4 linked regions of the Rhinolophus ferrumequinum genome follow. The protein of the gene in region 2 binds, or shares a complex with, the protein of the main gene of each other region. Links are inferred from orthologs where the notes say so. Each region holds a gene or a part of one and is shown on either strand. Other genes may lie near its edges.

The links.
Region 1: MEFV (region 2) and CASP8 share a complex: the UniProt entries of both Homo sapiens proteins name them as parts of the AIM2 PANoptosome complex. The link is inferred for Rhinolophus ferrumequinum from reciprocal best matches to the Homo sapiens genes MEFV and CASP8.
Region 3: MEFV (region 2) and RIPK3 share a complex: the UniProt entries of both Homo sapiens proteins name them as parts of the AIM2 PANoptosome complex. The link is inferred for Rhinolophus ferrumequinum from reciprocal best matches to the Homo sapiens genes MEFV and RIPK3.
Region 4: MEFV (region 2) and ZBP1 share a complex: the UniProt entries of both Homo sapiens proteins name them as parts of the AIM2 PANoptosome complex. The link is inferred for Rhinolophus ferrumequinum from reciprocal best matches to the Homo sapiens genes MEFV and ZBP1.

What each region holds. Positions count from the first base shown.
Region 1 is NC_046291.1:30,095,806-30,103,574, forward strand, and holds the start of CASP8 (caspase-8), read right to left. Parts: upstream 3,477-7,769; 5' UTR 3,382-3,476; intron 3,036-3,381; exon of another isoform or gene 2,951-3,035; intron 1-2,950. UniProt on the Homo sapiens protein: Thiol protease that plays a key role in programmed cell death by acting as a molecular switch for apoptosis, necroptosis and pyroptosis, and is required to prevent tissue damage during embryonic development and adulthood.
Region 2 is NW_022680357.1:4,725,297-4,733,616, forward strand, and holds the start of MEFV (pyrin), read right to left. Parts: upstream 3,416-8,320; 5' UTR 3,333-3,415; coding exon 3,056-3,332; intron 1,568-3,055; exon of another isoform or gene 1,537-1,567; intron 1-1,536. UniProt on the Homo sapiens protein: Involved in the regulation of innate immunity and the inflammatory response in response to IFNG/IFN-gamma.
Region 3 is NC_046289.1:74,475,491-74,483,274, forward strand, and holds the start of RIPK3 (receptor-interacting serine/threonine-protein kinase 3), read right to left. Parts: upstream 3,412-7,784; 5' UTR 3,373-3,411; intron 3,281-3,372; 5' UTR 3,229-3,280; coding exon 3,209-3,228; intron 3,010-3,208; coding exon 2,869-3,009; intron 2,757-2,868; coding exon 2,447-2,756; intron 1,984-2,446; coding exon 1,838-1,983; intron 1,713-1,837; coding exon 1,666-1,712; intron 1,458-1,665; coding exon 1,290-1,457; intron 1,181-1,289; coding exon 1,095-1,180; intron 856-1,094; coding exon 508-855; intron 389-507; coding exon 292-388; intron 1-291. UniProt on the Homo sapiens protein: Serine/threonine-protein kinase that activates necroptosis and apoptosis, two parallel forms of cell death. Necroptosis, a programmed cell death process in response to death-inducing TNF-alpha family members, is triggered by RIPK3 following activation by ZBP1.
Region 4 is NC_046306.1:4,310,576-4,318,978, reverse strand, and holds the start of ZBP1 (Z-DNA-binding protein 1), read right to left. Parts: upstream 3,370-8,403; 5' UTR 3,129-3,369; coding exon 3,095-3,128; intron 481-3,094; coding exon 259-480; intron 1-258.

The sequences.
Region 1 (7,769 bases), on a different chromosome or scaffold from region 2:
AACAAAAAGAATCTAGACCCTGACCTTAAAATTTTCACAAAAATGTACTGAAAATGAATCTAAGATATATGTGTAAAATGCAAATTTCTAAAACTTTTAGAAAATAACATAGGAGAAAACCCAGGTGACCTTGGGTTTCGTGATGAGTTTTTAGATACAACACCAAAAGCACAATCCATGAAAGAAATAATTGAGAAGCTGGACTTTATTAAAATTAAAAACTTCTGTTATTCAAAAAACACAAAAGAGAATGAAGAGACAACCCAAAGATTGGGAGAAAATATTTTCAAAAGACACATCTGATAAAATCCGAAACAAACAAAGAATTTTAAAAACACAACAGTTAGAAAACAACACCCCTTTTATAAAGTGGGTAAAACATCTGAACAGACACCTCATGAAAAAAATATACAGATGGCAAAAAAGGCATATAAAAAGTGCTCAACAACACGTTATTAGGGAACTGAAAATTAAAACAATGCTGAAACATCACCATACATCTTCTAGATGCAATAAAATTCAAAACACGGACAAAACCATATGCTGGTGAGAATGTGGAGTGACAGAAACTCTCACACATTGCTGGTGGGAGTGCAAAATGGTACTCCACTTTGACAGTTTGGTAAATTAAACATACTTTTACCATATAATCCAGAAATTATGCTCCCAGTAAACCAAGACTCTTAACCCAAAAGAGTTGAAATTTTATGTCTACACACAAAAATCCTGCACATGAACGTTTATAGCAGCTTTATTCATAATTGCCAAAACTTGGAAGCAACCAAGATGTCTTTCAGTAGGTGAATGGATGAATAAACTGTGGTACAACCATACCATAGAATATTATTTAGCACTAAAAAGAAATGAACTATCAAGCTGTGAAAAGATATGGAGGAGCCTGAAACACATATTACTAAGTGAAAGAAGCCAGTCTGAAAAGGCTACGTGTTATATGACTCCAACTATATGACATCTAGAAAAGGCAAAACTACAGAGACAGTAAAAAGATTAGTGGTTGCCAGAGGTTGGAGAGGTAGGGTAAGTAGGTGGAACACAAGAGATTTTTAGGGCAGTGAAACCGTATTCTGTATGACACTGTAATGGTGGACACATGACATGAGCACAGGACAACTGTACAATGCAAACAGTAAATTCTAATGTAAACTATTGACTTTAACTAATAATAATAATGTGTTAATATTGGTTCATCAATTGCAACAAATGTACCAGACTAATGCAAGATGTTAATAATAGAGGAAAGTTCAAGGAGAGAGGATATGGGAACTCTACTTTCTGCTCAACTTTTCTGTGAATCTAAAACTAGTCTAAAAAATAAAGTCTGTTACTTAAAAAAACCAACTCTCACACATATAATATCACCTGATTAATGGATAAAGATGACACTGCATTGAAATGAAAAAAAAAAGATGATCTTTATGATAAATAGTAACATATAAAAATAAAATGAACTGGGGGTGGCCCGCTGTCTCAGTTGGTTAAAGCACGAACTCTGAACAACAGGGTTGCCGGTTCAATTTCCACATGGGCCAGTGGCCTGCACCCTCCACAACCAGATTGAAGACAATGAGCAGAAAGCTGAGCTTCTGGAGGGGCAGCCAGATGGCTTAGCTGGTTAGAGTGTAAGCTCTTAACAACAAGGTGGCGGGTTCAATTCCTGCATGGGATGGTGTGCTGCGCCTCCTGCAACTAGAGATTGAAAACAGCTACTGGACTTGGAGCTGAGCTGCTCCCTCCACAACTAGATTGAAGGACAAAACGACTTGGAGCTGATGGGGCCTGGAGAAACACTGTTCCCCAATATCCCCCAATTAAATTTAAAAAAGAAATAAAAATAAAATGAACCTTGGGCCGGCCAGGTGGCTCAGGTGGTTGGAGCTCCATGCTCCTAACTCCAAAGGCTGCCAGTTCGATTCCCACATGGGTCAGTGGGCTCTCAACCACAAGGTTGCCAGTTCAATTCCTCGAGTCGCGCAAGGGATAGTGGGCTCCGTCCCCTGCAACTAAGATTGAACACGGTACCTTGAGCTGAGCTGCCTCCCAGATGGCTCAGTTGGTTGGAGCGCGGGCTCTCAACCACAAGGTTTCCAGTTCAATTCCTCCACTCCCGCAAGGGATGGTGGACAGCGCCCCCTGCAACTAAAATTGAACATGGCACCTTGAGCTGAGCTGCCGCTGAGCTCCCTGCTGGCTCAGTTAGTTGGAGCGCGTCCTCTCAACCACAAGGTGCCTGTTCGACTCCAGCAAGGGATGGTGGGCTGCGCCCCCTGCAACTAGTAATGGCAACTGGACCTGGAGCTGAGCTGCACCCTTCACAACTAAGATTGAAAGGACAACAACTTGACTTGGAAAAAAGGCCTGTAAGTACACACTGTTCCCCAATAAAGTCCTGTTTAAATAAATAAATAAATAAATAAATAAATAAATAAATAAAATAAACCTTTATCTCCTACGTACAGAAAATTCAAATCCAGATGGATCATAAACCTAAATATAAAAAGGAAAGAAACAAAACTTTTATAAGAAAACCTAAGAGAACATTTTCATGATGTTAAAGTAAACAAAGATTCTTAAATAGGAAACAAAAAGAGTTAACCATAAGGGAAAGAACGATCAGCTGGGCTGTATTAGAATTAAGAGCTTCTGTTCAGAAGATGATACCATTAAGAGAGTAAAAAGGCAGGCCAGAGAACAGAAGAAGAAATGTTAACGACATTGCCAATCACAGAATGGCGTCTCCTCTGCATTCCAGCTCCTTCAATATCATGAATCCACACCTCCAAAGTGAAAAGCCTTCAAATGATTTTCTGAGGGAAAATTTGCCTCTTGTTTTGAAGTGAATATTAACTGAAAGACTCAGGCTGAAAACCTAAACTGATAAGGTTGCCACTTTAGCCGCCTCAATCAGCCACGTCCCCACCCAATCTGATGAAACACTCACTCAGCACACAAGCTGCTACACACCAGAGCTCCATTAAGCAGGATCTTCATGCAAGCCAGCATGGTCAACCCATAAGGTAAGGTTCCCCATGATTTTCTTGCCCTGCATTTCCTATTATATTGTTCTGGATATTTTTCTTTATCTTGTTAATTATTTAGAGTAGAAAAGAGAGAATCAGTTACCATGACTAAGGAAGTAGGGTGTTTGGAGCTCAAAAGTCGAGGCTGTTATTCATTAATACATTGTGCTAGTGGAAATTCTGCGAAATCCAGCCATCCCTGGCAAAAGGCAGAGCTGAGGGGAAAGAATGGAGCCAAGAGGAAGGATCTCCAGCCTGAAAGTTTCAACGTCCCAAATGTGCTCTTGGTTTATTGCAAGAGAAACTGAAATTTATATATATTAAGTTAAAAGAAAAGTATTACCTGGATATCCAAGTGGCCACCAGCCTAGACAATTCCAGAAACAAGCTGATTCCTTCTTAAAATTCTAAATAAATTTATCAAAAGGTAAATACAGATGCTTCTTTCTGGAATGTGTTCTTGCCAAGAAACGCCTCCAAAAATATAATGAAAGTCAAATGAAGGGCATTTTGCTAGCGCTCCTGTGAGTGCAACTTCTGGAATTTCCACAGGCGGAACAGATTCAGCAAGTCAGTGTGAGAGGGTGGGGCTCTAAGCAGAAAATGAAATACAAGGTTTTCTGTATCGTGCTCGCATGACAGGCCATTTTACGGCATGGAGAGAGCACAGGTCAGAGCATAAGTTACCCAGACTTGAATCTGGGCAGTTCAATTTAGCTCTCCGTCCAATTTCTACATTCCAAAAGAAGGAAGTTAGAAAATCTAGAAAACTTCTAAGATCACTTTCAGTTCAGTATTTAAGGAGTGCATGATGGTGTGCTCTTTTTTTCATTTAGGACATCTATTTTTCCAGGATTCTAGTTAGGACATTCATTCATTCTAGTTGGGACTTTATTGAGTTACAAGAGGATCCAAGGCAGACGATAAGGGTTCACCACCTTGAGTAATGGATGAAAGGTGCTATCCTTTCTCATGGTACAGAAGAGACTGCCCACAGTTGATGGGGAGAAGTCCCTCCAACTGACGGGATGTGAGCAGCTTTGAACCTGTGAGCTTGGTCATGGGAAACGGAGAAGTGGCGATCTAACCTCTCTCCCACAGAGAAGCCTGTGTGACTTTGACATCACCCAGTTCCGGAAGTTGCCCCTGCCCTGTATTTGACAAACTGCTGGAGGTGTCACCCCCTACCTGACCCCACAGATAAACAGCTGATTGTGCTGCTGCTAAATACTACAAATGGGCATTTCTCTAAACATGGACCTTTCTGGTACCTCAGCGACCCCAACCTTATTATTCTAGATCCAATGTGCTGCCACAGTTGGACTCTGACAATGCAAGAGCAAACGCCTTCCTAGGTGTCAACTTGTTCCTGTCAGACCAGGGCAGTTGGAACATCTCAACAGGGGGAATGGGATCCACCATCAGGGCGATTTTGACCTCAGTAGCGAAGGCCGTCTCCTCCCCTACACTTGCCCCCACTTTACACAGACTTTTCAGTTCCACTCAAGGACCCTGCCCACTGGGAGTGACTTCTGGCTGATAGAGTCCCATGGTAGCAATGACTCTTACACTCTAAGCATTATGTGGGCCCCTTTGGATTGTTATTTCTTTTGTAAACACAGGCCTTCACCTGCCTTCCTCCTAGCAATGTAATGCATATATATGGGGCATTCATGTAATCCATATATAGGGGGCATTAGTAAGAGACTTCCAAATATTCAAAACAGTCCCACCCATTGAGCATATTGCACTACACTGAGTAAGATGGGAACTCCAAGACCAGGGGGACCCCGGTTATTCAGGAGAATTACTAGGGGCATTACCAACTCCAGGTAATTATTTCCACTGTTGGGTTCCCTCAGTTAGAAAGACAACCTGTCTTTGACTCTTGCTGAGGTCATTCATGGCACTACTTTAGCTTTGAAGGCACAACAGATCAGCCTCAGTTCCTTGGCCCAAGTAGTGTTGAATACCTGCAATAGCCCTCAACTTCCAGCGGCCAGCCAAGGTGGGGTCTGTGCAATTGCTGACACATTGTGTTGTACCTGGATCAATGAGGCTGGCAAAACAAAACAATCCATCACCAGGCTTAGATAGAAAGCCTCCTGGATCTCTGAAGTAGACCCAGATGGACTATCAGACTTCTTTTCCTGACCTGGCAATCTTTGGGGCTCATGGTTATGTTCAACCCTCCAGGCAGGTCTAATCATCCTACTTGGAGTGATATTAATTATGATCTCAGACTAATTACCTGGTTCTTGACACAGTCCCTCAGAGTCCCATTATGGTCCGTGATCAGGTAGCCTATGTATTTCCCTTGGACTCTGAAAATTGAAAGGATGAAGTTGAGAGTCTGGCTCCAGGCCAAAATCCTATGTGTGATCTTTCAGGCCCACACATCGGCAATTACAAAAGCTTTACCTGGTCAACCTCACAGGTAAGCTGCCCTCCCCACATCAGATATACATGTGAAAGTAACTTGTTAAGTTGTCTGACTTATTAAATTGGGGCGGTTCCCCAGAACAGTGTGGAACAATAGCATTACTAACAGACAACTTTATCATGTTTTTGAGTTTAATGAGAATGCTTACAAAGTCTCCCTAATGAGTATGAATTTTAATTTAGGTTTCTGGTAGATGTTTTTATCTACCTTCTTTCCATTTTAGCACTTTCCTTCCATCTTAGCTCCCTAGCATTTTTTTAAAATAAGGAAGGGGTGTTAAATTATAAAAACATTTTTCCCCCAGAATCTTTTGAGATGATTATAGGATTTCTTACACAGTCTAAGTTTCTTAAAAATAAATTGCCTGCATTGTGCTTGTGGATTCAGGACTATGTGCACCTCACCAAATTAGTTGGTGACATGTCTTTTTCTATGTTCCATAACTGCTTCAGTAACAGAAATTTTCTTGTGTATAAATTGACTGTTTATCTATTTTTGTCACTTATAAAATGGATATGGGGTACTGGCCTTTTAATGTATAAGAATTCTTTTTTTTAAAAAATTTATTGGGGTGACAATTGTTAGTAAAATTACATAGATTTCAGGTGTACAATTCTGTATTACATCATCTATAAATCTCATTGTGTGTTTACCACCCGGAGTCAGTTCTCCTTCCATCACCATATATTTGATCCCCCTTACCCTCATCTCCCACCCCCATCCCCCTTACCCTCTGGTAACCAGTAAATTATTGTCTGTGTTTATGAGTTCTTGTTTCTCATTTGTTTGTCTTGTTCTTTTGTTGTTTTTGGTTTATATACCACTTATCAGTGAAATCATATGGTTCTCTGCTTTTTCTCTCTGACTTATTTCGCTTAGCATTATATTCTCAAGATCCATCCATGTTGTCACAAATGTTTCTATATCATCTTTTCTTACCGCCAAATAATATTCCTTTGTGTATATATACCACAACTTCTTTCCAATCATCTATCAAAGGACATTTTGGTTGTTTCCATGTCTTGGCCACCGTAAACAAAGCTGCAATGAACATTGGAGCACACGTGTCTTTGTGTGTAGATGTTTTCAGATTTTTTGGGTAGAAGAATTCTTGATATAGAGTTCTTCAGCTTTTATTTTTCTTTTAGCACATATATTTTTCCAACTCTGTTGTTTTCTTTTGCTTTATTTGTGAGAGAGAGAGAGAGAGTGGGTGTGTTTTTAAATTATTGGATATTCAAGCATATCTATTTTATTTCTAGTATTGATCTCTATTTGGTCAATAGTGAGGTATACCAAAATACTTCATCTTCATATCATTTTTTTCTATATTCCTTTGTCAATTTCTCTAACTCCTTTTAAGCTTGGATAGGTCTTTCGCACACAGAGATAAGAAATTCAATCAATTTGTTTGTTTTATTTGTTTATTTTTTAAATTTAAATGTTTGACCCAATGAACTCAGGGCCCTGACTGCATTGTGCTTGTGGATTCAAGGCTATGTACACCTCACCAAATTAGCTGGGAAAAAACGTATTTTTCTGTTCCATAACTGCATAAGGGCTTTTTTTTTTTTGAAAAAACAAGGCAATTTTTTTTTCAAGTTACAAAAATATGTATAGGTCAAAAATACAGTCTAGTCCATGTAAGAGTAGTTCCAGCCTTTTAAAATCTATACAGAGTTTGTAAAAAGCAATTCATATACAAGTCTTAAAAAACGTTTCATGAATAGTATACAACCATTCAATTCAGTTATTGCTTGTTATATGCAGCTTTTACTGGAGACTGTTCTCCGTAAGGGAAAGGGCAGTGTTTGGGTACTCTGATTGTTATTTCTTAAGTTGTGGTTTTAAAAATCAATCAAAAATCAGAATAAGCTCACTTTGAATAAATGAGGACGTATTAAGTTTTGATTAGTGCTACGAGTAGGAGTGGTCTGAATTTCAGTTCCTCCACCTTCTCCTATTTAATTCTATTTTGTTAATATATCAGAAATATTAGTGTGTAGTTTGGGGCAAGAGTAAATGAATTACTGGTTTTCAAATGAAGTGATAAGAAACATTAACTTTGAGTTCCAATGTAAAAACAAAGCTGGCATATCCAGTTTAAAAACTTTAAAAGAATAAATTCAAGAATGGTCGAACATTTAAAGTTTAACTAAAAACCAAAGCTGCATTTCTTTCTCTTTAGACATTGAGATATAAAATGAATCAATTTGTTCTTTTGAAGTTTATGGGTATATGAAGCTCTGATGCTCTCTATTTTCTCATTACAAAGTCAAAGAGTTAGC
Region 2 (8,320 bases):
TCGATAGACGATTGGATAAAGAAATTGTGGCACATACGTACAATGGAGTATTACTCTGCCATAAAAACAAGGAAATTTTAACCATTTGCAACAACATGGATGGACCTACAGGATATTATGCTAAGTGAAGTAAGTCAGACTGAGAAAGACAAATGCCATATGATCTCACTTATATGCAGAATCTAAAGAACAAAATAAATGAACAAAACAAATATAGCTACAGAGAACAAACTGATGTTTGCTAGATGGGAGGGGGGTTGGGGAGATGGGTGAGAAAGTTGAAGGGATTAGGAAGTACAATTTGGTAGTCACAAAATAGTCACAGTGATGTGAAATACAGTATGGGGAACAGTCAATAATGTAAGATGGGTACCAGACTTATTGGGATCACTTCATAAATTACATAAATGTCTAACCACTGCACTGAACTAATACAAAATAATGAAACTAATATAAAGTAATATTGAATGTCAATTATAATTAAAAAATATATGTATAGTCATGGGATGTAAAATACAGCATAGGGAATATAGTTAATGGTATTGTAATAGCCATGTACGACGTCACATGGGTAGTAGACTTGTTGGGGTAATCACTTTGTAAGGGGTGTAAATATCTAATCATTATGTTGTTTTGTACACCAGAAACTAATTAAAAAATTCAATAAAGAAGGATCAACAGATGGAAACTAGACTTTTGGTGATGAGCACACTGTAGTGTATATAGGTATCAAATTATAATGCTGTACACTTGAAACATGATGTTATTAACCAATGTTACTTCAATTTCAAAATAAATAAACAAAATGCTCTGGGAAAACAAAATTCAATTACAGTAGTAAACAAGGGGCAGAATAGTTGTATTATCCATGGCAAAATAGTGGTAATCACTGAAGGTGGGTGATGGGGAGACACTTCATAGTGCCCTTTACTCTTGAGTATGTTTGAAAATCCAATTAAAAGTTTTAAAGAAAAAAAAGAAAACCTTCCACACAGAAAGGGACAGTAAGGATGTGTACCTGTCTCAATCTGGCATCAGATATAGTAGAAAAAGAAAATCTCTCCTGAAGATTTGTAAACACAAGTGCAAATTCACATTATTCATACAGTCCAAAAAAACTTCAAGAGATTAATTTCATTTGAAGAGGGTCCTACGCAGCATTGTCCCCAGGTAATTAGAGTGAGCAAATGGACCTTTCTCTGGAAAACTCAACTTCAAGCAAGGCCTCAAAGAATTCCCACACTGCTGTATGATATGTTGGAAAGTGTTAAGAGAGTAAATCCTAAGAGTTCTCTCACTGTCGGAAAAGATGTGTGTTAGCTGAACCTATGTGGTAATCATTTCACAATATGTGTAAATCAAACCATCATGCTGTACGCCTTGAACTTATATAGTGATGTGTCAATTTTTTTCTTAATAAAACTGGGGAAAAAAGAACTAAGGTGTTTGATTGGTGCAAAAATTTGAAATCGGGTTATGAAGGACAGTTAAAACTTCAGAAACTAAATTATTTCTGCTTTTTTTTCCTTTTGGTTTCAGGAGGTGCAGAAAATCCTAATTCACATAGGTAAGTAAGTGTAAATGGTAATTTTTTTGAAAAAACAGCTTGCTTTGAAATTTCAGGATACTGGTTAATTAAACAGAAATGACAGGAAAGTCTTAATATTATCGAAGGTCTACATAATAAGGAGTTCAAGTACAGCACGAACTGTCACACTGGTGGCCTTCAGTATTTTAAAATTTGGTTAATGATACATTTTAATACGAATTTATTAGCTTTTTTAAGTTAAAAAAGTAGTAACATTTGCATCAAGTATTTGCTAACATTCTAGAGAATCCCTGAAATATCTTCCTGGGACATAATTTTAAAACCACTACTCTAACAAAGAAATGAAGATAACCTATTATTAGCACCTTAATATTTGGTTTGAAGAAACTTGTATTAAAATTACTTTAAGAAAAAGACAAAACACAAAAAATAAAGAAGAATAAAATTACTTTAAAGTTGTTTAAAACACTTTGCTGTTGGCTTTGTGTTTTAGGAAAACATAAGTTACCAAAACTAGCTCAAGAACTGATGAGAAACCCTGGATGGGCTAATAACCAGATTTTAAAACATGAAAAAGTAATTTAAAAATTCTATTCATCAAATTATTACAGACTCAGATTAGAGTTGGTTTAATCTTATTGCTCTTTGAAAGAACAGAGAATTTTTGTTATTTAAACTGTTCTACCACATTTAAACACGTGAAAAGCATTTCTGATGTATTGTCAAAGTTTAGAAATAGAAGAAAAATTCAGACACCAAAGAATATTTTTTTCAACTGATCATGTATTACCCCCCACCCCCAACCTCAAAGTCTTTAAAAGCAGAAATTGAGTAGGCCACATTTCTTTGATCACAATGTAATAAAATCAGAAAGTACAGCAAAAGGGCAGCAGAAGAACCAGGAGAGGGAAGGAAGAAGGGATAAAAAGAAAAGATGAGAGAAAGAGGGAGAGAGGGAAGGAGAGAAAGAAAAAGGGATAAGAGGTAAGGAGGGAGGTTAGGAGGGAGGAAGGAAAAGAAAAGAAAGGAGAAAGTTCTTTTGAGAATTCTAAAATGCCTTTGTGAAATGTGTTAAAGAGCTCAAAACAAATTAGGTGGGTAACAATGTGAAGATTACCTGTCAACCCTATTAATGTGATTGGTTAGGAAGCCCTTTTGCTTACCCAGATACTTGTTTGTACACAAGTATTAATCATAAATGAAGTGAGGAATTCTGTACAAACAGGCATCTAGCTCCTGCCTCTCCCGATCCTTCCCAGAGTCAGAATTTCAACCGTTTTTAAAAAATGTTTTTTAAGCCATTGGGAGGCTTAGCTTTACTAACCCGTCTCCAAAGACCAGAGCGGGGAAAGCGACTTGCTTGGTCAAAATCACTAGCGTCATGGTTGATCTGGGACTCCTAACCCCCAAGTCAAAGTGCGTGGTCTGAACAGGCACTTGTTCTTGCACCTTCCACCTCATCCCAGCCGTTACAATGGTAGAGGAGGGGTCATGGGGCCTACTTACCTTGGTCAATCGCCCTGTGGAGCTCCTCTGCCAGGAGATGCTGGTTGATGGCTTTCAGAACCTGCAGGGTCAGCTGCACAGCACACTTCTCCCCATAGTGAGAGACCAACAGAGAGGCCAGCTTCACTTGTCTGGCTGTCTGAAGCTGGCCCCTGGGTATCCGGGGGTGCTCCTTCTCCAGGCTGGTATTCTGCAGCTTGAACTTGAACTTCTCAAAGTCGTAAGGCACCAGCTCCTCCAGTGAGTGTAAGAGATGGTCACTGGGGGTCTTGGCCATGGTGTTGACCAGAAGAGGCTGGAGCCAGCTATCTGGCTTCTGGGAGGAGAAGAAGCCCTCTGTCCTGGAGCCCGGGGGTAAGTGAGAAGAGGCAGCTTGTGAAATAACGGAAAAGGCACAGGAAATGCTCTGTGATTTGGTGGAACTGAGGAGTGTCACTGCTGGCTTGTGTTCTCTTGCAGATTTTTGTAGCTTTTCCAGCTGGGAGGGCTCAATGCCTTCCCTCCAATGCCCCAGCTCTCATCTCCAAAGGCTGGACTGTAGAGTGGTGGGTAAGTCTGTGAGGGGAGTCTGGGATTGGATTCCGGTCTTTTTATCCTTGGGCAGGCAGTCAGATGCTTCCCTCTCTCCTCCTCCCAGAATTTGGGGGTGAGGGGTGGGAACAGAGCCCCTGGTCCCACATTGGAGAGGACCATGTCAGCCCCTTTGGCCAACTGTTCTCTGCCAGAATATTGGGATTTAATTCACACTTCATAGCCAATGGTGAGAAGGGCAGGGGGCGGGGTGGGGGGAGCAGCAAATACAGCCCTGCAAGCTTTGTGGTTCCCTGCCCAAGAAGGCAAGCAAGGCCAGAAGGGCACTGCCAAGAGAGAAGCCCTGGTGTTGCCCCTGTTGATGCAGTTCCAGTTGTCTGCTACTTCCAGCAAGGGCCTCATAATGCCATGCCTGGGACCACCATCCTGATCTGTTTGTTTCCAGAGCTGACTGTGCCCTGGCTTCCTGTGAACCTACCTGGGAAAAGATACTCATCCATACACATTTACTGAACACATTCTGGACACCATGCCAGGATGCTGGAGAAACAAGGTGGAAAAGGTATAGACATCCTTCAGAGCTCACAGCCCAGTGTAGGGCCCCAGAGGGGGCTCCAAAGCTCATGGAAGTTGTATTTGGGTAAGCTGACTTCTTCCTCAGAGAACTGCTTCTGTCTTTCTTTATACTCTGATTTTCCCCCCAACTTTTTGTTTTGAGAAATTTCAAACCTACAGAAAAGTTGGGAACATAGTAGTACAATGAACACTTATATACCTTTTACCTAGATTAACCAACTCTTTGCATTTTACAGTATTTGGTGATAGTCTTTTCTCCTTCCCTCTCCTTCCCTCCCCGCCCCATTCTTTCAGGCACACACTGTTTTTTCTGAACCATTTGGTATGAATTGAAAATACTATCACAAATCACTCCAAATACCCTAGGTGCCATAAATACTAAGAACAAGGATACAAATATATTACTTTAAATAATCAGAATACAGTAATCACACTCAGGAAATTTAATGTTGTTAAATCAAATTTCCCCAATTGTCCTTGACAGCTTTTTTTTTTTTCAATACAGGGTCCAATCAGAGATCATGCGTTGCTTTTAGTTATTATGTCTCCGTAGTCTCTTTTCATCTAGAACACTTTTACACTTCCCCTGCCTTTTCCTTAATCCTTTCCAGACAAGTTTTTTGAAAAGTCCATTCCAAGCAGAATGTCCCTCAATTTAGCTTTGTGTTATTGTTTCCTCATTATTAGCTTGAGGGTATATCTAACACATGCTAAGGTCTCTCCATTATAAAAGGACATTTTTTTCTCTGTACTTAATTAACATGATTGTGTAGAAATGTCTGATTCTCTCATAATATTTCACCGCATGGTTTTAGCTTCTATTGAGGATCCTTTCTTAAATCAATTGCTACAATGGTGGTTACCAAATGGTGATATTTCTATCACTTAGTTGATATCATTTGCATATCCTGGTTTAAACTTTATATTTCTCATGACATTTTTGGCTTACAGATGTTTTGTTGGTAATACAGTTACCCTCTAACAGTGCTTGCTCTGAGCCAGGCACCACTTGCTTTATATCCATTATCTCCTAGAGTTTCTGCAGCTCCCTTCAGGACAGAATTCATCATCCCCATTTACACCCAGGATTAGTAGCTTAGCGACTTGCCCAGAGCCAGGATTCAAACCTACTGTTAACCACTTTGCAATATTGTCTCCCTGCATAATAATTTCTTATTTTACTATGCATCACTAACTATGGATGTCATTTTTTCAGCTCTCCAGTGAGGATCAAAATGGGCCATACTGACAACTCCCACAAGTCAGTGACAACATTCTGATGGTTGGCCGAACAAACAGCCCTATGTGTGACCAGCCTGGGATCAAGACTTCAATGAGTTCTGGTTGGTTGAATTTATCTTATTGTCCAATTGTGCTTTGTATTTTACAGAGATTCAGTGCTTTTGGTTTAATAGCTGATATAATACCCAGTTCTCTGGATCCTGCTGAGAAAATACCCGCAACCCACATCTTCCCTAAAAAAAGGGATGAACCCAAATACACATTTCTTATGCAAATGTTGGATTGTGAAATTCTAAGGTTGAGCTAGAAGGGTGTTGACTGGGTATCTCTGGGACCAGAACCTGTATCAAAGTCCGGAATGCAACGGCACAGCCACCTCCCAGGCACCCTCCCACTGCTGACGCAGAAACGATGAAATTGTGCAATGACATGCAGTGTCTTTCGTGTTCTTGGGTCCCTGAGGCCTGTCTTGACTACCTAGGAAACTCCTCTAAACTGAGACTAAAGCACTATGCCACAAGTGGATAGGAAACTGGACTTTCCAGTCTACAGCAGGCTGTTTTGCAAGTGCAGTGACATCTTTTGTAATGGGCAATTCGGAGAAAGAGACTTCTTGGAGAGCAGTGTTTTGATGCTACTAAGTCCTTTCTAGGTGTAGAGAGTCTTACAAAACTCTAATTTTTTTGAGATTCCAGTGAGTTTTTAAAATGAAGAAATGTGAAAATAGGATGATAGCTATTGGGATGCATTTTAAATCTTTAACAATTAAAGTGGAGTATTGATGAACTCCTATTTCTTGTTCCTCTGTGATTGTATGAGTGCCCTTATTTGGGGATAACATGATAAATCTAAATCCAGTGCAACTGGTACAAAGGTTCCAACCTCTGCTTTTATGCCCACGTAATACACAGCTGCGTCACCCTGGCCTTTACTCCATTTCTGGTCATCAAGGGTTTCACTTTTTACTGCATTCATTTTTGTATCATTTGGGATTTTTAAATCAATATGTATTACTATTTATAATAAGAAAAAAGATAGTTGTAAGAAAGTACTTTATAATTAGCTTAGCCTCTAAGGTGCAATAATTCCTGTCCACCCAACTATCACGATAAAGGATGTCTATAAAGTAGTATTTAAATATAATACATATCTGCTATTGAGAAAATGGGAAGAATTGCTGGGAAAATCATGGAAGAGTTCCTGTGTTAATCTGGAGTTGAAAATAGTGGATCCCATTGTGACATGAACTCTCCCTTGCCCCCCAGTATGTTGAATTTTAAGGGAGAAATCTGAGACTTTGAAGAGCTAACCACTAAAGTTCTAAATGAATTTTCAGGCAATGAACCTCCCACTGAGAAACATACTTGTAGCTGTGCTGAGGGCAAACGGGGTTCTGGGACAACGTGCAACCTCCTAATCAGAATGGAGACAGAGGGAGAGGAAGCCAGCTTCCCAACGTGGGATGCAAAGGGTGACCTTGACCTGTTGAGGTAGTCCAGTAATGGGATCTGAATAGGTCCCCAATGAGAACTTCATTTGCAGTATGGTAATATTAAGCAAGAGGCTTTGTAAGCTATAAAGTGTTTGTACACATTATTCCGATTGTTAACTCTAGGTGGTCAGTGGTTGTTTATTTCACTCTTTAAATTTTTCTGTGTATTTAAACATTTTAAAAACTGAAAAAGTTTTGTTCTACCACTATTTATAAGGGACCCTCTAGGAGGCAGACTTTGGGCATACAGCTCCTGACCGCCAAAGGCTTACAGATCAGTGAAGGAGGAAAACAATTGCCTGGAAGGCAACTGCTCTCCCCCACACCCTTTGAGTTTCGGTTTACATAATCCTGTCCCCACTCTCACACCTCCCGGTCCTTTCACCCCCAGCAGAGCTGACCCTCTCCTGCCCCGTGCTTCTGTCTTTCCCGCTCACCACCTCTTATTGAAACTGTTCAGTTTGGAAGCCGCACAAAGTTGTGGGGGGAAATACGGGACTCCAAGATCTAGGACCCCTGTGACCTGGTCAAGTTACTCGACTTCTTTGAGCGTGCTTTCTGTCAAATGGGTTGTTGGGGAATTCAATGAGAAAGAAAGTATGCAAAAGTGCCTGGCACCGTGGGGTAAGTGTCAACTTCATTCTTTGGTATTCCAGCGCCTGACACGTCATGGGCCGTGTCGGTGAAGGTGGACGGAAGATTTCTGCCTCCAGGACCTCCTCCGCCCACACCCTGCGGTTCCCGTCTCGGGAACAGGAAGGCGCCGTCTTGGCGGGTGTCACGCACGGTCGGCAGTATCTCCCTGGGGCAACAGCTCGGAGGGGAAGTGGCTTGTGGCAGGAAGGGGAAGAGCGGCGGGAGGATAAATAAGTGTCAGCGCAGCGCCCCGACAGACAGGCCGGCGCCGGGGTCCAGGCCCGCTCGGCACTCTTATCTCCGCGGGGCCTCGGGACATGCTCGAGATGAGGGAAGCCCCGAGAGGCGCGACGCACCCCCCGCGCCCGCTCCTGCCACCCCACCCGGCCCCACGACTGCCTTGGTCTCGCGCGCCGATTGTACAAAAGCGCTGGCGACTCTTTGAAGTACATCTCCGGGTTTCCGGGAGTTTGTGAACCAATCAGAGGACGGGTGGGCGGGCTCTCTGGGAGTCTCGCGGCTGCGCGGCGCCGCGCTGCTGTGGATGGGGTTGGCAGCCCCCAGCAGCTTGCCCCTGTTTCTCGCCAGAGCTGCGGAGCGCCCGGCGCGGAGGAGGCGCGGTTTTCGCGGCTGGTATCCGACCACAACCCCGGGAAGTGGAGTAGACGTGGTCCCCGGCTGCTCTCTCCTGGGCTTCGGCGCCTCTGGGTTGCGCTGAGGCCCTTGATCCTGCAAAGCGCTCCCACCCTTATGCACCTGTAGACCTTGTTCACTCACGTTTAGGGCAA
Region 3 (7,784 bases), on a different chromosome or scaffold from region 2:
TAGGAGGCCCTCTAGACCGACACAGCAACAATGGAATTTTGAGGTTCACAGAACTGGTGCTGGGGAGCCAGAAGGTACAGGGGCAAATCCAGGCTTTGCTGTAATCTCAGCGGGATCCAATCCCAGTGAGTGTCAGTTTCTTCATTTATGACGTGAGAAGGCTGAGGTAGGTGGCTGCTAGCCCTTTCTCTTTCTCTCCTTACCCAAGGTACCCTCGATCTGTATATGGACTAGAGGATGAAGCTGGTGGAAGAATTGAGCAGAGGAAAGGAAGGAATGGAGAGTGGGTACCTGGTATTGGATTTGGCCCCCACTCCCTGGGAGGATTCGGTATTGGATTTGGCTCTGGCTCCCTGGAAGGCCCGTTGGTGCCACCTCTCCCAGCCCCCTGTAAACAACAGCACAGCACTCTCAGGCTCTCTGTCCTGGGGCCTGTTTCCATGGCATAACCCCTTGATCCCAAAGTTTCCCTGGCAAGGGGACAGGATTTGCATCCCCTAGTCTCACCTGATTCCCTTGGGGTCTAGCACCTGGTGGCCAAGTCGAGGTGGGGCTGGGCTTCTGGTTTCTGAAAAGTGAGGTCTCCAGATTTGGGGGAGGTTGGACTGTTGAATCAGAAGACATCCTTGCTGTTTGGGCATGCTGAGTCTGTTCTCCCTGTGCCTCTATCTTCTTAGGAAGGTTTATACATTTTTCAGAAACAGAGCTGGGCAAACCTTCCAGATTCAGGTTTAGCATCTCAGAGACCATGGAATCAAGGCTTTCTGGGGTTTCCCTAGGGCCATCCATTTCTGTCCCTCCTGGGCCTGGCTCAGAGGCAGAAAACCTCCTGTGCTCAGACAGGAACTTCTTCACCTGCAAGGACAGGGGGACCTTGCTGGGTGTGGAGGTGGGAGAGACAGAGTAAACCCAAGGAAAGAGTCTCTTGGTCCATAATCTGTTGCCTGGGAATTCAGGGGTGGGGTGGAGAGAGTGGGGATGAGGTTCAAGGCATAAAGAACAGTGGTCAGTGGGGAGTCACTGGGGGGCCACAGGAGCCATCTGGTGCTATCTCCGCCCGGCTCTTTGTGTGTGGGTTGGTGTTGGGCACTCACTGTGGACACTGCAACATCCATCTCTGTACCAGTTACACCTGTATTCTGTACCATGTGGAGGGCTTTCTCAGTATGTCGTCTGCAGTCTGGAGAGAAAGCAGAGTGGGTGGCAGGTGAGCGAAACTTCTTTCCCAGGCAAAGACCCTGCTGACAGATCCAGGCCTGCCCCAGCTACCAGCTAAATGGCCAGCTCACCTTGGAATGAAGGCCTGTCCTTGGGCTCATTGCTGCAGCAGTCCTGCATTAACTGCGTCAGTTCTTCTAAGCCAGGAGTCTCAGGGCTGGGCTGGGGCAGCTCAGTCAGTGGGGGCCGGTTCTGCCTCTCACACACGGCTTTCTGCATCAGCGATATCTGGGGCACTACTGGGGTGCGGTGGGAGACATGAAGACAAAGCATTCAGGGTATGAGGGGCCACCTGCTCCATCATGGAAAGTGGCGGGAGTGCAGTCCAAGAAAAGGTGAGGAGGGAATAGGACAGTCTGAGCAAGTAAGCAGGAAGAAGAGGGTTTGGGGACTTTCAGGAGGAGGGCACCTGGGGTTAAGGATCCCAGAGTCTGCTTAAAGCCTTACTTTCAGCTTCTTTTCCAGCTAGCACTTCCCACAATAGGATCCCGAAGCTGCAGGAGACACAAAACTGAGGCCTGGCCCAACTGCTGACAAGACTCCTCTCCCATATACCTCCCTCTGGAAGGGCCCAGAGAGGTGCAGAAATTGGGATGTGTGTTTGGTGTGGGTACCTTACCTGTAGACATCACTGGCCGTAGAGGCCTTCCGGTTTACATCAGCCAACAGTTCTGGGGCTAAGTAGGCTAGGGTGCCCCCTGATTTCCCAGATCCTGCTGTTGACCTTGAGCCTCCCAGAAATGTGGACAGGCCAAAATCTGCCAGCTGCAAAGGGAAGGGCAAAGGAGAAGGAAAGGGGTGGACAGGGCCAGGCATCCCCTTCTTTCCCCGAGAAGGTGCAGGCCTAGCCATGTAAAGGGGGTGTGGAGGGTTAGGGGCATGGTAGGATCAGTGAGGTCCTTGGTTTGGAGGCCTGGGTCCCCTCTCCATTGGACTGGGTTAAGGGCTGAGTCTCCTGGGCTGTCAGCCATGGGTCTTTGTGGAGGGCCTAGTGGGGTGAGCCCCACAGTAGAAGTAACTGTGTCAGTCAGGGCTCTATCACTTGGTATGGCAGAGGCTAAGGCTGCTGGGTGGGCCTTGACATTTGGGCAGCCCTGTGTGCAGAGGGAAATGCTGAGGGTATTCAGTAGGCAGGGCTGCAGCAGGTGCTTTGTCCAATGGGTGGGGCTGGAGCAGCTCTGGGGCATGACCTTGTTTAGAGACTGGGCTGGGGTGCGGATGAGCTGACCTTGACGTGTAGGTCTGCGTCCAGCAGGACGTTGGAGAGCTTCAGGTCCCGGTGCAGAAGCACAGGGTTCAGGCTGTGCAGGTAACACATCCCGAGCACCAACTCCTGCAGCAGGCGGCAGAGGAACGGCCAGGGCCGAGGGCACTGGGGCTGCAGCAGCTCTACCAGGGAACCATTCTCCATGAATGGGGTCACCAGAGCTGGCCCAGACAAGTTGTCCCACTCCAGCTTCTCAGTGACGCCCAGCAGGAGCAGCACATGCTGGTTACGCAGACTTGCCATGGCCTTTACCTCCCTGCATATCACCTTCCTATACTCCAGGAGAGAGTTGGAGTCACTGCTCTGCTGCTGGGCAGATCCCTCCCTTCCCCATTCAGGACCTGCGGCACAGTGGCCTGCCTGCATGCAGCTGGGGCACTCACGAGTTCACGATCTTGACCGCCACATCAATACCCCACGACTTGTGTTGTGCGCAGAACACTGTGCCAAACCCACCTTCACCAATGTACTTCGGGTTCTTTAATTCCTCGATGGACACCAGGGGGGCTGGGGCACCACTGGGCCTGGGAGAGGGGACCTCATTCACCAGCTGGCCATGGCTTCAAGTCTGCACTGTTCTCTGCTGTGACCCCCATGACTCAGCAGGGTCGGTACAATCCACAGCCTCCCCTGTGGGCCCCACTGTCCCCCAGGCTTGGCAGGGCACAAAGCAGTCCCTGAGCTAGCCGGAGGGGCATCCTGTGTGTCCCATTCTCTACTCACCATAACTCGTGGCTAGACATCAGTCTGGAAGGTGTGAGTCCACATGGATGGAGTGACTTCTCCGAGTGGAGTCTGTGGCAGAGAGGGTTGGGGGTGGGGAGACAGGTCAATCTCTAGGCCACCTCACCGATTCCGCTTCCCGCTTCCCGGGTCTCTCTCCCTACCAGCGCTGAACAACTTCCTTGTCCGTCAGGCGCCTCTACAGTCCCGCCCCAAAGGGGCGGGGGGGGGCGGGGGGGGGGTAGGCCGAACGGAAGCTTAGTGCTTATCTTTTCTAACTAGTTATTTCCTAAAGCACCTGCTGCATGCCACAGCCCGTTAGATGTCACTGGGCACTTAGGGTGTCCCGGCAGAAGTCCTCACCTTGCAGGAACTCATAATCAACTCCCTTCTCCCGCCGGCGCCTCTCCCTCTTCCCACAGCAATCCCAGCTCCACTACCTGCCGGGCCCGGGCTAGGGATGCGACGGTGCTGAGGAGGATTGCACGGTACTGGGGCTCAGTTCTCCCCCAACTGCCCTAAGATTATAGCTAACACTCCCGTAAAGCTTGTCATGTGCCAGGTACATATATGAGTTTATATAACTCTCACATCGACCCTAAGGGCATAAGTACTGCTTTTATGACTTTTTTGTGGGTGAGGAGAAGGAGGCACTGAGAGTTTACCTCGCCCAAGCCAGTGAGGAACTGACTTCAGTGCCTGGCTTTCTTATCATCACCGTAAACTTTCCTATTTTCACATAGGCTTCAGGGCTGTACCATTCAGCTAGTGGTGAAGGTGGCTGAGGAAGGTGTAAAGCGTCCGACGGTGTGATGAAGGGTCCCTGTCTGTATTCCTGCCCAGTTCCTCCTGACAGCTGCTCTTGCTGAGGCAAGCCCTGGCATTGGTAGTGACTTGTCTGCTGTCAAGGGCAAAACCCACTCCCAGGGCAATAGGATCAGCAAGATGACTGGCCCAGCCAGGGGGTTGCTGACACGGTGTATGTGCAGTGGGAACACCTCAGGCCCTCCTTGCTCTCTCCCCCATGCCAATTCCTCCATGCAAATTCCTTGGTTGATATACATTCCCCACAAGCACATGCTCTGGACAAGGGCCTTTTAGAACTCAGGAGCTTAGGGAACCTTAAGGATTTAAGGTAGACAAAGGTTATTTTACCCGTGCAAGGCCTGACCATGGCTGGAGGTTGTGGGAGCTAGATACAGCTAACCCTGGGCACTCAGTCCTTCATGGGGAGACCCAACCCTGCGGGTCGTGTGCCAGCTGTCACTGGAAGGTCTCCTCTTGGTGTGCACTTTTTATTCTGTCCGGTATTCCATGGACTGTGCTGGTTGGAGAACAAGTGGCCAGCAGTTAACTGTGTTTTTTAGAGCAGCTAGGAACTCTAGACTCCAACTCATGAATTCTGGTGGAGTCCATCCATGCGATTTTGGAGGTATTTAGGGAACTCTTCGATTGTAGTCTGTTTAAAAGCCTATTTATGGTAGGCACCCATAAATATTTGTTGAATTGAATTAATAAATAAACAACCGAAACTTCTGGGGCTTCCTTAAATCTCTGACCATCCCTGCTGGAGCTCTACACTCACTGGGAGGAAAGAGGAGCTTGGGCTTCTTTATGGGTTAGGGGCTCTCACCAGCACGGTTGACAGAATCCATCTGAAGTAGACTTTATTACAGAGATGTGGTGGTATCTCACAGACTATAAAGGCAAGTGCAGCAGGTCCTCAAAAAAAGTCTAGTCAGGAGCTAAGAGCCATCAGAGATGTCAGCCATTCCTATCGTGATTCTCCTTTGGTAGAAGACTCTGGGCTCAACATTGGGGCTCCGCTTGAAACGTGTTAGAGGAGTGTTTCTATGGTTGGATTTCTTTAGATTGGGACAAGATCCGGAGAATCAGGGGTAACCCACTATGAAGCACAGGGTTGGGGACAGTCAGAGCCTGTCCTGCTTTCTGACTCAAAATAAACCAAACCCCTTTAGAAGAAGGGGAAGCAGGGATGTGAGTCTGCAGTGAGTGCCTGAGAAGACCCTCTGCTTCTGCTAGGCTGGCACTGGCAAGGCAAAGTTGATTCCTAGATTTTTGAAGCTCTGAACTTTTCTGAGGCCTGGTGCCCCTGACTCCAGCTATCCCAGGCTTTTGGAGTCTATTTGGGTGTCTGTCATTCCTTCAGTTCTCTGCTCCTGATTATCTTTGCTTATCTTCAGCCCACCAGTACACACTCTGGTTCCCTATCCTTAGTTGTGGGGGTGGGGGCAGAGGATGTGGTCTTTCTTCTCGGATAGTCTAGCCTTAACTAATTCTCATCTGTTGTTTGATTAAGAGATTTTACTCATAGACCAAATGGTATTAAGGTGATGGCAAAAAGGATTATGGAGAATTTTCATTTTCCATAGTGTTTGAATATTTTATACTAGCATATATTACTTTTATAAACAGTTAAAGAAGACAGAAGATCACAATGTATACAAAAATTTAGTTATAAAGATATTAACTGAAATGTTATTTAAAATAGTAAAAAATAGAACCCTAAAATCCAATAATAAAAAAGACTGAGTGAATTATTCAATGGAAGACTATGTAGCTGTTAAAAGGATGCTCTTGATCTATATTTATTTATATGACAGGTGTTGATCGTATATCAAATGGAAAAAAAACGGGTTATAAAACAACTCGTATGTACCACATAATCACATTTCTGTTTGTTTTAAAAATTCTTTTCCAGTAGTATGACTGAGTTCTTAAAAGCCTCCCATAGCAGAATACTTAAATGCTATATAAAACACAACAAACACATATGTTAAAAGTTCCTTAGTGAGCTCCCTTAAAATAAAGGTAATCTCCCAAGGGCATCCCCTGAAATCAACAAAATAAGACAATACAAAACAAAAGGTATATAGTGAGTAAGCAGAGAGTTCAACTAACTAGAAACCTAGAGCTTTGGGGACTGGATAAGGGTATGGGAAATTAGGGGAGAACCAGAGCATAAGCCTTAGGGCCTAGAAAGATGGAAGAGCTAAATATGAGACACCCTCATCCCCGAAAAGCTGGGACCATCAAAGAGTCAGTTTTTCTCACTGGAAAGAAAAAAGTCTACTTGCTTGCGGAGGGAACCTACAAGGAAATCTGTCTAGGCTGTAGCACTAGATGTTAAAATGAATAAAAGTGTTAGTTTCCATGTGCGACCTGTTCTCTTTCCCTTTGATCGAATAAACCATAAGCTGAAACTTTTAAGTGGCCCAGATTATTAATGTCCCCTGGAGTCCAGCAGAAGCAAACTGAGTGCCTTAGAGGAAAGCATCCTCAATCCAGTCTTCTGGATTAAATTCACCCAAATATAAACTCACCAAAAAATTACTAAATATACAAGGATTGAAATAACTATGAAGGAGAGTCAGCAGCAACAATAATCAACAGTTTTAGATCTTTAAGGACTTCAGAATTTGGAATAATCAGATGAAGAATCTAAAGAAGCTATCATGAAATGTTTAAAGAATAAAAGATGTAGTAGAAAAAGTGAATAAGTCATAAGAGAGTATTAAAAAAAAATGCCCAGATAGATTTAGGGAAAAAATAGAACAACAAAAAATAAAAATTTGTATATAACTATTAAAATTAAAATTGCAATGCTTGGTCAAACAGAAGATACAGCTGAAGAGAGAAGTAGCGTGCTAGAACGGACCTGAAGAAGTTCCCCAGGATACAGAAAGAGAGACAAGCAGATAGAAGAATTAAGAGGCAAAGACTGAGGCAGTCCAACAATTAGCAAATTGGATTCCCAGAAGGAGAGAAGAGGAAAAAAAATGCGAGCCAAGAAATATTTGAGGAGAAAGTGGCTGATAGTTTTCAAAAGTTGATGAAAGGCAAGAAAGAATCCAGGAATATAAGAATCACTATTTATACCAAGAAGGATAAATATGAAGAAATACACATCTAGATACATCTTAGTGAAACTGCAGAACAATCACGACAAAGAAACAATCTCAAAGGCTACAGAGAAAACATAGACCATCTAAAAATGAACATAACTAAACTGGCATCACACTTCTCGACAGCCATACTGGAAACCAGAAGAGACTGGAAATGATTCAAAGTGTTTTTAAAAAGGGGGAAAATCTGTAAACAAAGAATCATATACCCAGAAGAGTTATTTTCTTCAAGAGCAAAAGTTTTATAAAAATACATTTTTAAATAAATGAAAACTGAGTTTACCACTAACAGTCTAAAGAAATTTCTGGTGGCTGTGCACCAAGAAGATAAAGAAAACTTACCCCAGATGGGACATGTAAATGCGAGAAGGAATAGCAGTTTCCACTAAGTTCAACCACAAAAACAATTAGCATCATATTAAACCCCTAGAAAGAAAGGGGATGGCTCACTGATTTAAAAAAGGATCTGCTGGACACCACCTCAGGGATGATGGAGATGCCTGATCACTGCATTGTACACCTGAAGCTGAAGCTGAACAATAATGAATGTCAACTATAATTATAGTTATAAAAAAAAAATATATATATATATATATATATATATATATTTACAAGAAGTGGAGTACAGCATTAAGAATAGAGACAGTGGA
Region 4 (8,403 bases), on a different chromosome or scaffold from region 2:
ATTGACGTTTTGCGGAGCACCTACTATGTGACGGCACTAGGCTGACCCTTTGCATCTAATCCTCTCGCAACTCTGTGAAGAAGCCTTAGTGTTATTTCCATTGGCCAGAAAAAGAAACCAAGGCACGGTGAGGGGACATCACGCACCCCTGAAGGGCAGCGACTGTGTTCAAACGCAGGCCCAAATCCGAGCTTGTCCAGTGCCAGAACTGCTCCTACCTGGTCTGAACCGGCCCCCCCCCCCAGGATGGTGGGTTACCCTGGCTGGGCTGGGCCCCTTCTGCAGGAACCACTTCTCCAGTCCCACCGTCGCCCAAGCACCACGTTCCGGGGCCTACGAGGGCCACCTGCGACTCTGCCTTCAGCCGGTAGATGACTTGGTTGAGTTTCTTCTTGGGCACTTGGCATTCCTTTACCAGCTGGGCAGTCTTCACAGGGGAGCCAGCCTCCCTCAGTACCCGCAGGATGCTTTGCTCAAGGTCTAGGAGAGGCGAGAGGGGCAGAGAGAGAACTGAGGGCCCCACAACGGAGCCTGGGCTGGAGGCTCGGCGGGCAGGGGAAGCTCCGTGAGAGGGATCCAGGGCAGAGGCCTGAGCACACATCTGCCAACACCACCCTCGTTCAGTGAGGGGCACATGGGCTGGTCAGAAATGACTTTGGCCAGACGGCCTGGTGGCCAGACGAGGCACCCAGGCCTTTCGCGGGTCCTCTGCCCCCTGTGAGCAATCCCTGGAGGGCAGGTGGACGCTCAGCTCTCAGGTGTCCTCAAAGGAGAGGGAAGTGGCAGGGGCAGGATGAGGAGAGTGAGGGTAGGAGAGCAGGAGGGAGGGGAGAGAGGGCAGGGCAGTGAGGCGGAGTGACCGCCTGGGAGGCATGCCTCTGTGCCCTGACCCCAGCCTCCGCCTCCCTGCAGAATCCTCCCGGGCTCCCATCCTCATATGGGTGGTGTCACATTCACCCAAGCCAGCAACCTCACAACATTCAGAAACGGATCTCTCTCTCTGATGCCTAATCACAGAGTCCTGGAAATACTGTTTCCGGCTCTCTCGAATCCCTTCTTCTCTTCTCTGCTTCCACCTCCCTATTCTGTGTCATCATCTCTACAGTGACAGCAAGTCCAACTCCAGTCAGGTTCCCTCCAGTCCTCGACTTGGCAGCCAGAACTGGCTCTGCTGACCACTCAGCCTGGTCTTTACTGCCCCCTCAACTTCCTTCCAAGTGCCAACCCATCCGGGCTCTTTTCGGCCCCACTCACCCCTGGGCCTTTTCCCATGCTGTTCCCTGTCCGGAATACGTTTCCCCACCCCTCCCCCTGTCCGATGTCTACTCACCCTGCAGGTCTCACTCAGACACCATCTCCTTTGGGAAGCTGTCCTGGATGCCCTGAGCGGGCGGGGTGTTGTACGTGTGTGTGTCCCCTACAGAATTGCCCCAAGAAGCTCCCATCAGAATTGCCTGGTTTACTGTTGTACCTTCGGTGTCTAGCGCAGTGCCGGGCACACAGTAGATTCTCAGGAAATGGCACGGGAATGAATGAGTGACTGAGTGAATGAGTGAGTGAGTGGATTCATCCACTACTGGGACAGACGTCGGCCCAGGTGACCGATAGCATGTCTGTGTTTTCCCACCTGAGATGAACGACCCTAAGCAGGATCCCTTGAGGCTCAAGGAGGAACCCTCCAAGGGCCCCTGCTCCTCCCGGGCAGGATCCCACAAACCCGGGACAGCTGCTCTGCGGGGAGTGAGAGGACAGGATCCTGTAAGATAGAGCGGCTGTGCGTGGCAGCCCAGCCTGTCATCAGTAAGTGTGTGCCCCCAAGAACCCCAAGGGTAATGCAAAGCAGGGCCCTTCTTGGGTGGATCTGGCTTGCCTTCCAGGGCGGTGGCCATATCCGACCCTTTGCTTTCTGGGGTTTTCTGGGGGGAGGGGCAACTCAGCTGCTGGCTCTACAGCTGGGCGCTGTGGCTTCCCTTTGTGGTCAGAATGCGTTTGTCCTTGCTGCGCGTAGGTGAGGTGCGCTTAGAACACCTGGGACGCCGGTCCCTTCACCCACCACATTCGGCCCTGAGCAGCCACCCCAGCCACCAGAAATCCTCGTCCAACCCACTACACATCTCGCTTTGCCTTGACTTGAAAAGAGTTTTGATTTTTTTTTTTAAGAGTTTTGATTCTTGAAAAGCCTGCCAGGGTGAGCCTCCTCCTTGCCCTCTTCCACCTTCCTGCTGGCAAAGGAGGAGTCAGGTCAGAGACGTGTATGAAGGCCATCCCCCAAGGGCGGGATCCTTCCACAAATCCCGGAGGTTGTGAAATGGAAGAAGTATAAGCAACAAGTTGGTAAGGAGAGGAAAGCCCACTGGGGAAGAAGGAAAATTCAGTTCCTAAGCACCACTGACCAGTCCCCGTGTGTCCGTCCCCCACGGGGAAGTAGGACAGGAACCTGAGCCATACCCTGCCAGCACCCCTCCCCAGCACACCCTGTTTTCCTCATTCTTGTTCTCTGATGGCTGGTTTCCTGGGTTTGAGCCCCAGCTCTGCCACCTACTAGATGTGTGAACTCTCTATGCCTCAGTTTCTCCATCTGTGAGGTGGGGATAATAGCAGCTCCTTCAAAACTTGTGGTGAGGATTAAATGAGCTAATGATAACAACACCCCACCCCCACCTCCACCCCAAACCACCCTCAGCCCACAGCCCATAAGCCCCTAGTGGTGGCCGGAGAATGCAGCAATGGTTCACCACCTGGCTGAGCACAGGGTTCACCCCTGCTGGTATCCTCCTGGGAGTGTTATCTGAGGAAGAACACAACGGGGGAAATGTGCACTTCTAATCAAAGCAATTTCTGCTCTTTCTGGAAATGAGTGTGAAGCCAGGTGCTTAGCCCTGTCGTCAGCCTGATGCTCTGAGTCCTTTCACCTCACAGGGCTTGGTGATCTCGTGGGAAATGGAAACACCTTTGTACTTACCGCTGAGGTTATTGCAAAATGCATGGCACGTGTGTTGCTATCATTGCTGCCATCTGGGACAAGCGAAGGAGCCAGAGAGAGAAGTGCCAGTCCCACCCAGATTCCCGCTGTTCCTTAGAAAGAAGAAAGTACCTGTCTCACTTGGGTCCACAGGGGCCTCGGCCATGCTGACAGCAGTTGCTGGAAATCCCGGGTGGCTTGGCAGGGGGACTGGGGGACAGCTGTAGGCTTCTGCACTGTGGCCTTGAGAGAGTGAGCCAGGTGGGGCTGGGTGTCCTCGTGTGGTGGAGCCCGGTGCTTCTGGCAGCTGTGAAGGGAGGCCAGCTCCAACCAGGCAGGTGTCAGCTCTTCACATCACGGAAACAGAAGCCTAGCCTGCCCACATTTATCAGCTTTGTGGAGGAAAAGAAAAATGAAACGGGTGTGTGTGGCTTTTGAAAGAAACAAAACCGAAAGCTGTATTGAGCAAGAGGAAGCCTCTGACTAGACTTTGGTGGGGTGAGATGAGCTTGGCAAGACTAGAGCATCCCCTGGGGCCGGGGGTTTTCCCGAACTGCCGGGTGCCCATTGATGCCCACCCTGACCCCGCCCCCCAACACACAGGCCAAGATTCCTGGGTGGGTGCCTGGAGATTGTGTGCGTATCAAAATGACAGCTGTCCTTAATGAGCAGCTACTGTGTGTTTTCCAATCTCATGTGCCCTTCTGGCTCACCTACCGAGTAAAGACTAGTACTGGCCTCTTTTCTCAGAGGGGAAACCGAGGCTTAGATTGGTGAGGTCACTTGTCCAAGGCCACAGATTCTTGGGTCCTAACCCAGCTCCCCACCCATTTACTGGCTGTGTGACCTTGGGTGAGTTATTTAACCTCTCTGTGCCCCCATTTACTCATCTGTAAAACTAGTAAAAGCAGCTACCTGAGTGAGGAGGCCGTGGTGAGGATGAAGGGGTTAATCCAGCTGAGAAATCAGAGCCACCAGTGCCATCTACAGTCATAAGCACAGTTGGCACCCACATGTTTCTGGAAAAAGGACCCATTGCTTTTCATAAATTTTCAAACGGGCCGGTGACCCTCAAGCAGTTCAGGGCCACTGTTGTCTTTCAGGTAATAGGAGGGGAAACAGGCCTATACAGAGGCCTGTGTGAGGTAGCCCAAGCGGGTGAAGAACTCAGCCTCGGAAGTCCCTGGGCTCAGAGTCCCAGTGCAGTAGCCTAGGCGGGCTCGTGGGTTTCCGCGTTCCCTCCGCGGACCCGTGGCTCAGCATTTCTGCAAAGGGAGGGCCTAGGAACAGCGATAGCAGCGAGGAAATAAATGGGTGCTGGACGCTCGTCTCCAAGCTGCCTTTGCTAAGCAAGCAGGGAAAGTCCTGATACCCAGTCCACAGCCAGACCAGTTAAATCTGAATCTCTGGCGGTTCAGGTGATGTTATCCGCCTGGCGGGTGAGGTTGGGGAAGTCTTGGTCAACACAATAAAAACAGGAAACCACAATAATGCTTTTGTATCTGTCTTATGTAAAACCGAAGAAGCGTGTATCTCCATATGAATTGACAATATTAATTTTAAATGCGAGGTAGTTGCAGGTGTTGAGGAAGACTGTGGAGCCGCCCATCCTTGGGGAGGGGGCTCCCGCTGAGCCTCCCAGTGGACTTTGGGAGGCGCCGTGCTCGGACTGGCCACCAGGTGGCGCCCACTCACCCCGGCCCACCTCTGCCTGGTCCTCTCTGGCTGAGGGGGGACCTCCCACCTATCACCCTCCCCACCCCCGGGAAACCCCGACTCCGTCTGGCCCGACACCCGGCTTCTCCCCCTTTCTCCCTGGCCGCTCCTGCTCAGGCTTCTTGCTTTGTTCCCTGCGTGCCGCTGATCTCTTTGTGTGGAAGGTGCCTGGCCTGGTGGCTTGCAGGTCAGGCTGAGGGACTCAAGCTTGATCCTGAGGGTCAGTTTGGTTTCTGGAAGTACCACTTGTGCTTCAGCAGTGAAGGCTGGCACCCTCTTGGCCATCTGGGCAGTGTTTGGAGGGTCCCTTCCTGTCCCCAGTGTCTCTCTTTCCTATCCTGAAACCACGCGGAGCGCTGGCTGTCTGAGTGGTCCTTAGGGACCTGCAGCAGGAACCACTGTGCTGGAAAGGCCAAGTACCCCGGGAGGTGCCACCTGGACAAAGATGCTGCCTCACCTTCTTCTCCAGGGCAGGTCTGATCTGAGCTGCCACCTGCTCCTCCCTAGCTGTGGGTCACTACCTCTCTGAGCCTCAGTTTCTTTCACTATAAAACTGAGATGGTAAATAAGAAAAAGCATATCTATATGACACTTAGTTGGTGCTCACAAAATTTGCGTAAGTTAGAAAATGTGACACATGTTTACAATACAACTTTAGGCCCTAGACAAAAAAAGTAAATAAATAAAAAATAAAGAGGGAGAGAAGAAAAAATACAATTTAATGTGGGTGGGTTGCCCCTCCTGGAGCATTCCACAGCTGTCTGGAATTCATGGAAGCCATGAACCTGCTGAGAGCGTCTCACCACACTGGGTGGGACCCGCGCTTTTAAAGATTTAGATTATCTTGTGTTCTCTTCTCAATTTAAGAGATTTTCAAGGTAATTTTGACTATAAGGATTGTTTTTAACCCAAATATCAGTGGCTTAAACAGTCTAGATGCTTCTTTCTTTCTCCTCTAACAGCCTGGTAGGCGGTCCAGGTTTGGCCTGGCACACCACGGGATTGAGACCCAGGCACTTCTATTTTGTTGCTCTGCCATTTATGGCCCTCACTCGCAGGTTGGCCTTATGCTCTAGGATGGCTGCTCAAGCTCCAGCCATCACATCTGCATTCCTTCCAGCAGGAGGGAGGAAAAGGGAAAAGGACAGGTATCTCCCCTTTAAGAATAGTTGCAAGTTGCACACACATTCCATTAGCTTCATGTCCCGGCAAGGGAGGCTGGGGAAGATGGTCGTTATTCTGGATCACAAGGCACCCAGCTAAAATTGGTGGTTTATTACTTAAAAAATAGGGGACAACAGATATTGGAGGAGACCTGGCTGTCCCTGCCATTGCAAGGCTCTGTTGTTCCCGCCAGAGACGGAGTGAGGACATCTTCTTTGTGCCTTTAGGTATGGTCGTTCACTGGGGCCTATGTATTGAGCAGGTCCAAGGCTGAGTTCAGAAGCACTTTCCAGGCTCTGTCCAGTGTGGAAGGCAAAAGGGGAGAGGAAGGGAGGTGAGGATGCTGGTGCCTCGTACTCCGTCTGGGAAGGAGCTCAAAGGCCACAGAGGTTCCAAGATGGCATCCCTGTTTGCTGGAGCCCACATCTCTTTTTGCTTTGGAATGCACTCTCCATTTTCATAGCTTGTGTTTTTCTGGAAACCATTAGAAGTCTCCGCCCAAACCAGATGATAATTGCACGTTACTGATCTTAAGTCTTTAAATTTCTCTCTCTCCCTTTTAAAAGAGAGATATTTTTACTGCACATTGTATTGGCAAACCGCAGTCTCCGTTCTACCAGGCAGCCTGGATGTTATTTTTGACATTTCCTCTGTGAATTCACCTCAGGGGTGGGAGTGGAAGGTCAGAAGGCACCAAATGTGGATAATAATGTGTCTTTGTCAGGGGCAAAGGTCAAAGAACCAGAGGTGGCCAGAGAGAGACAGGGTCAAGGTTGCAAGAGCCATCGGCAGAGGGGGTGAAACAGTCCAAGCGAAGGTGCTGCGTGGAAGGCAGCAGACTCCGCGGCAGCCCCAGCAGGACCTGCCTGGCGCTGTTCACCACCTTCAAGGCAGAACTCGGCCGGCCTCCATGGGTCACCGTGTCCACTAGAGTCAGACAGACCTAGGGCTCTGGTCCTGGCACCCCACCTTTAAGCTCTGTGTCTGGAGTGAGTCCCTACTCTTTCTGAGCCCAGTTTCTCCCTCTGAAAAGCTTCTTCCTCAGAACAGAACCTACACCATGGGGTTGTTGCAAAGGTTAGAAGAGATCAGGTGCCAAAGGTGCTAGCAGAGCACTGAGCATGTAGTACGTGTGCAATAAACAGGAACTAGTCTTATCATCATTATGTGGTCTCCAGCGGTGCCTCTCCGAGGTGACAGAGCAGTCCCATTTATTCATCTGGTCATTCACCAAATAATTCTTTGTGCCTTCTTTATCTCAGGGCGCAAGCTGGGGTCCGTGGACGGCAGAGGCGGGGAGCAGGGGAACGGCCCGCTCCCTGGTTCCTGGCTCCCCTTCCACTCCGGCTTCAGAAGAGGCCACACTGCCCAATCCAGGGATTGGCAGGTGGCTTAGGCTGAGTCCCCGATCCACCACCATTCCCTGTAGCTCTGGCCAGTAAAGGGGACCTGGGTGGGTGGAAGGTGAGTTGGGGAGATGGACAGGGGCCAGAGCATTGAAGGCTGTGGTAGAAACTTGAAATTTTCCCCAGGGGCAAAGGAAAGGAGGACTTTCATCCATGGAGAGATGGGGATTTGGAAAGTGACCCTGTGTGCAGGTGGCAGGTGGCAGGAGATGGTCCTGAAAGGGAGAGGGGACATGGCCAGCCCTGGGCAGTTCTCACACTCTTCCTCCCCCACCAATTCTTTTTGGAAAGCCCTTCTCCACATCCCGACAAATATATTGAAATCAATTCACATCTAACTTTTATTTTTATGATCAAATGATTTTGTGATAATTTTGTTTGCTGAATTATTTACCTACAAGAAATTCATTTAATTACAATTGACCAAACATTCTCCACTGAGTGTCCAGGATTCTTGGGAATTCTTGCAAAGTGGGACCATTTCACCTATAAATTTGTTTCAAATATAATTAAGTGTAATGAAATTTTTATGATGACTAAACGGAACAGTTAATGAACTTGACATAATATTAGGTTTTTAGACTTTTAATTAAACATTCATTGATTCTGATTTTGCAATGCTTTTTTTTCCTCCCCTATATGTTGGAACTCAAACATTTTCAAAGGCATCTGGAAGCCTGAGGTGCTAAGACTTCTATGCCCAGAAGGTAAAATGAGGAAATGAGGGCACACACCCCATAAGACACAGGAGTCCCTCAGGTTGTGGCCGGGAGTAAGTCTGGGTGGCTGTTTCAGAGCTTGGGGTAGGGGTTGGGGCAAGAGCAAAACACTTTTACATTTTCACTTGTTACTTCTTTTCATTTTAAATGGGTACCCTACTCTAAAATTCAAAGCAAGGATGTTTCCTGAAGGACGTCGTGACTGAACAGCAATTGACATTTATTTAGAGCTTACTATGGACCCTCTTTCCTGAGGTTTACATTATTTCATAGACTCATTCAGACAATCTTATAAGATAGGACAGTAATACTGAATCTGCGTTTAATAGAGAAGAAGCTGGCGTTCAGAGAGGTTACTAAGTAAACTGGTCAAGTTGGCGGAGCTCCTGAGTGGAAGACATGAGGGTCCAACCCAGGCCCTCAGGCTCCGGAAGGG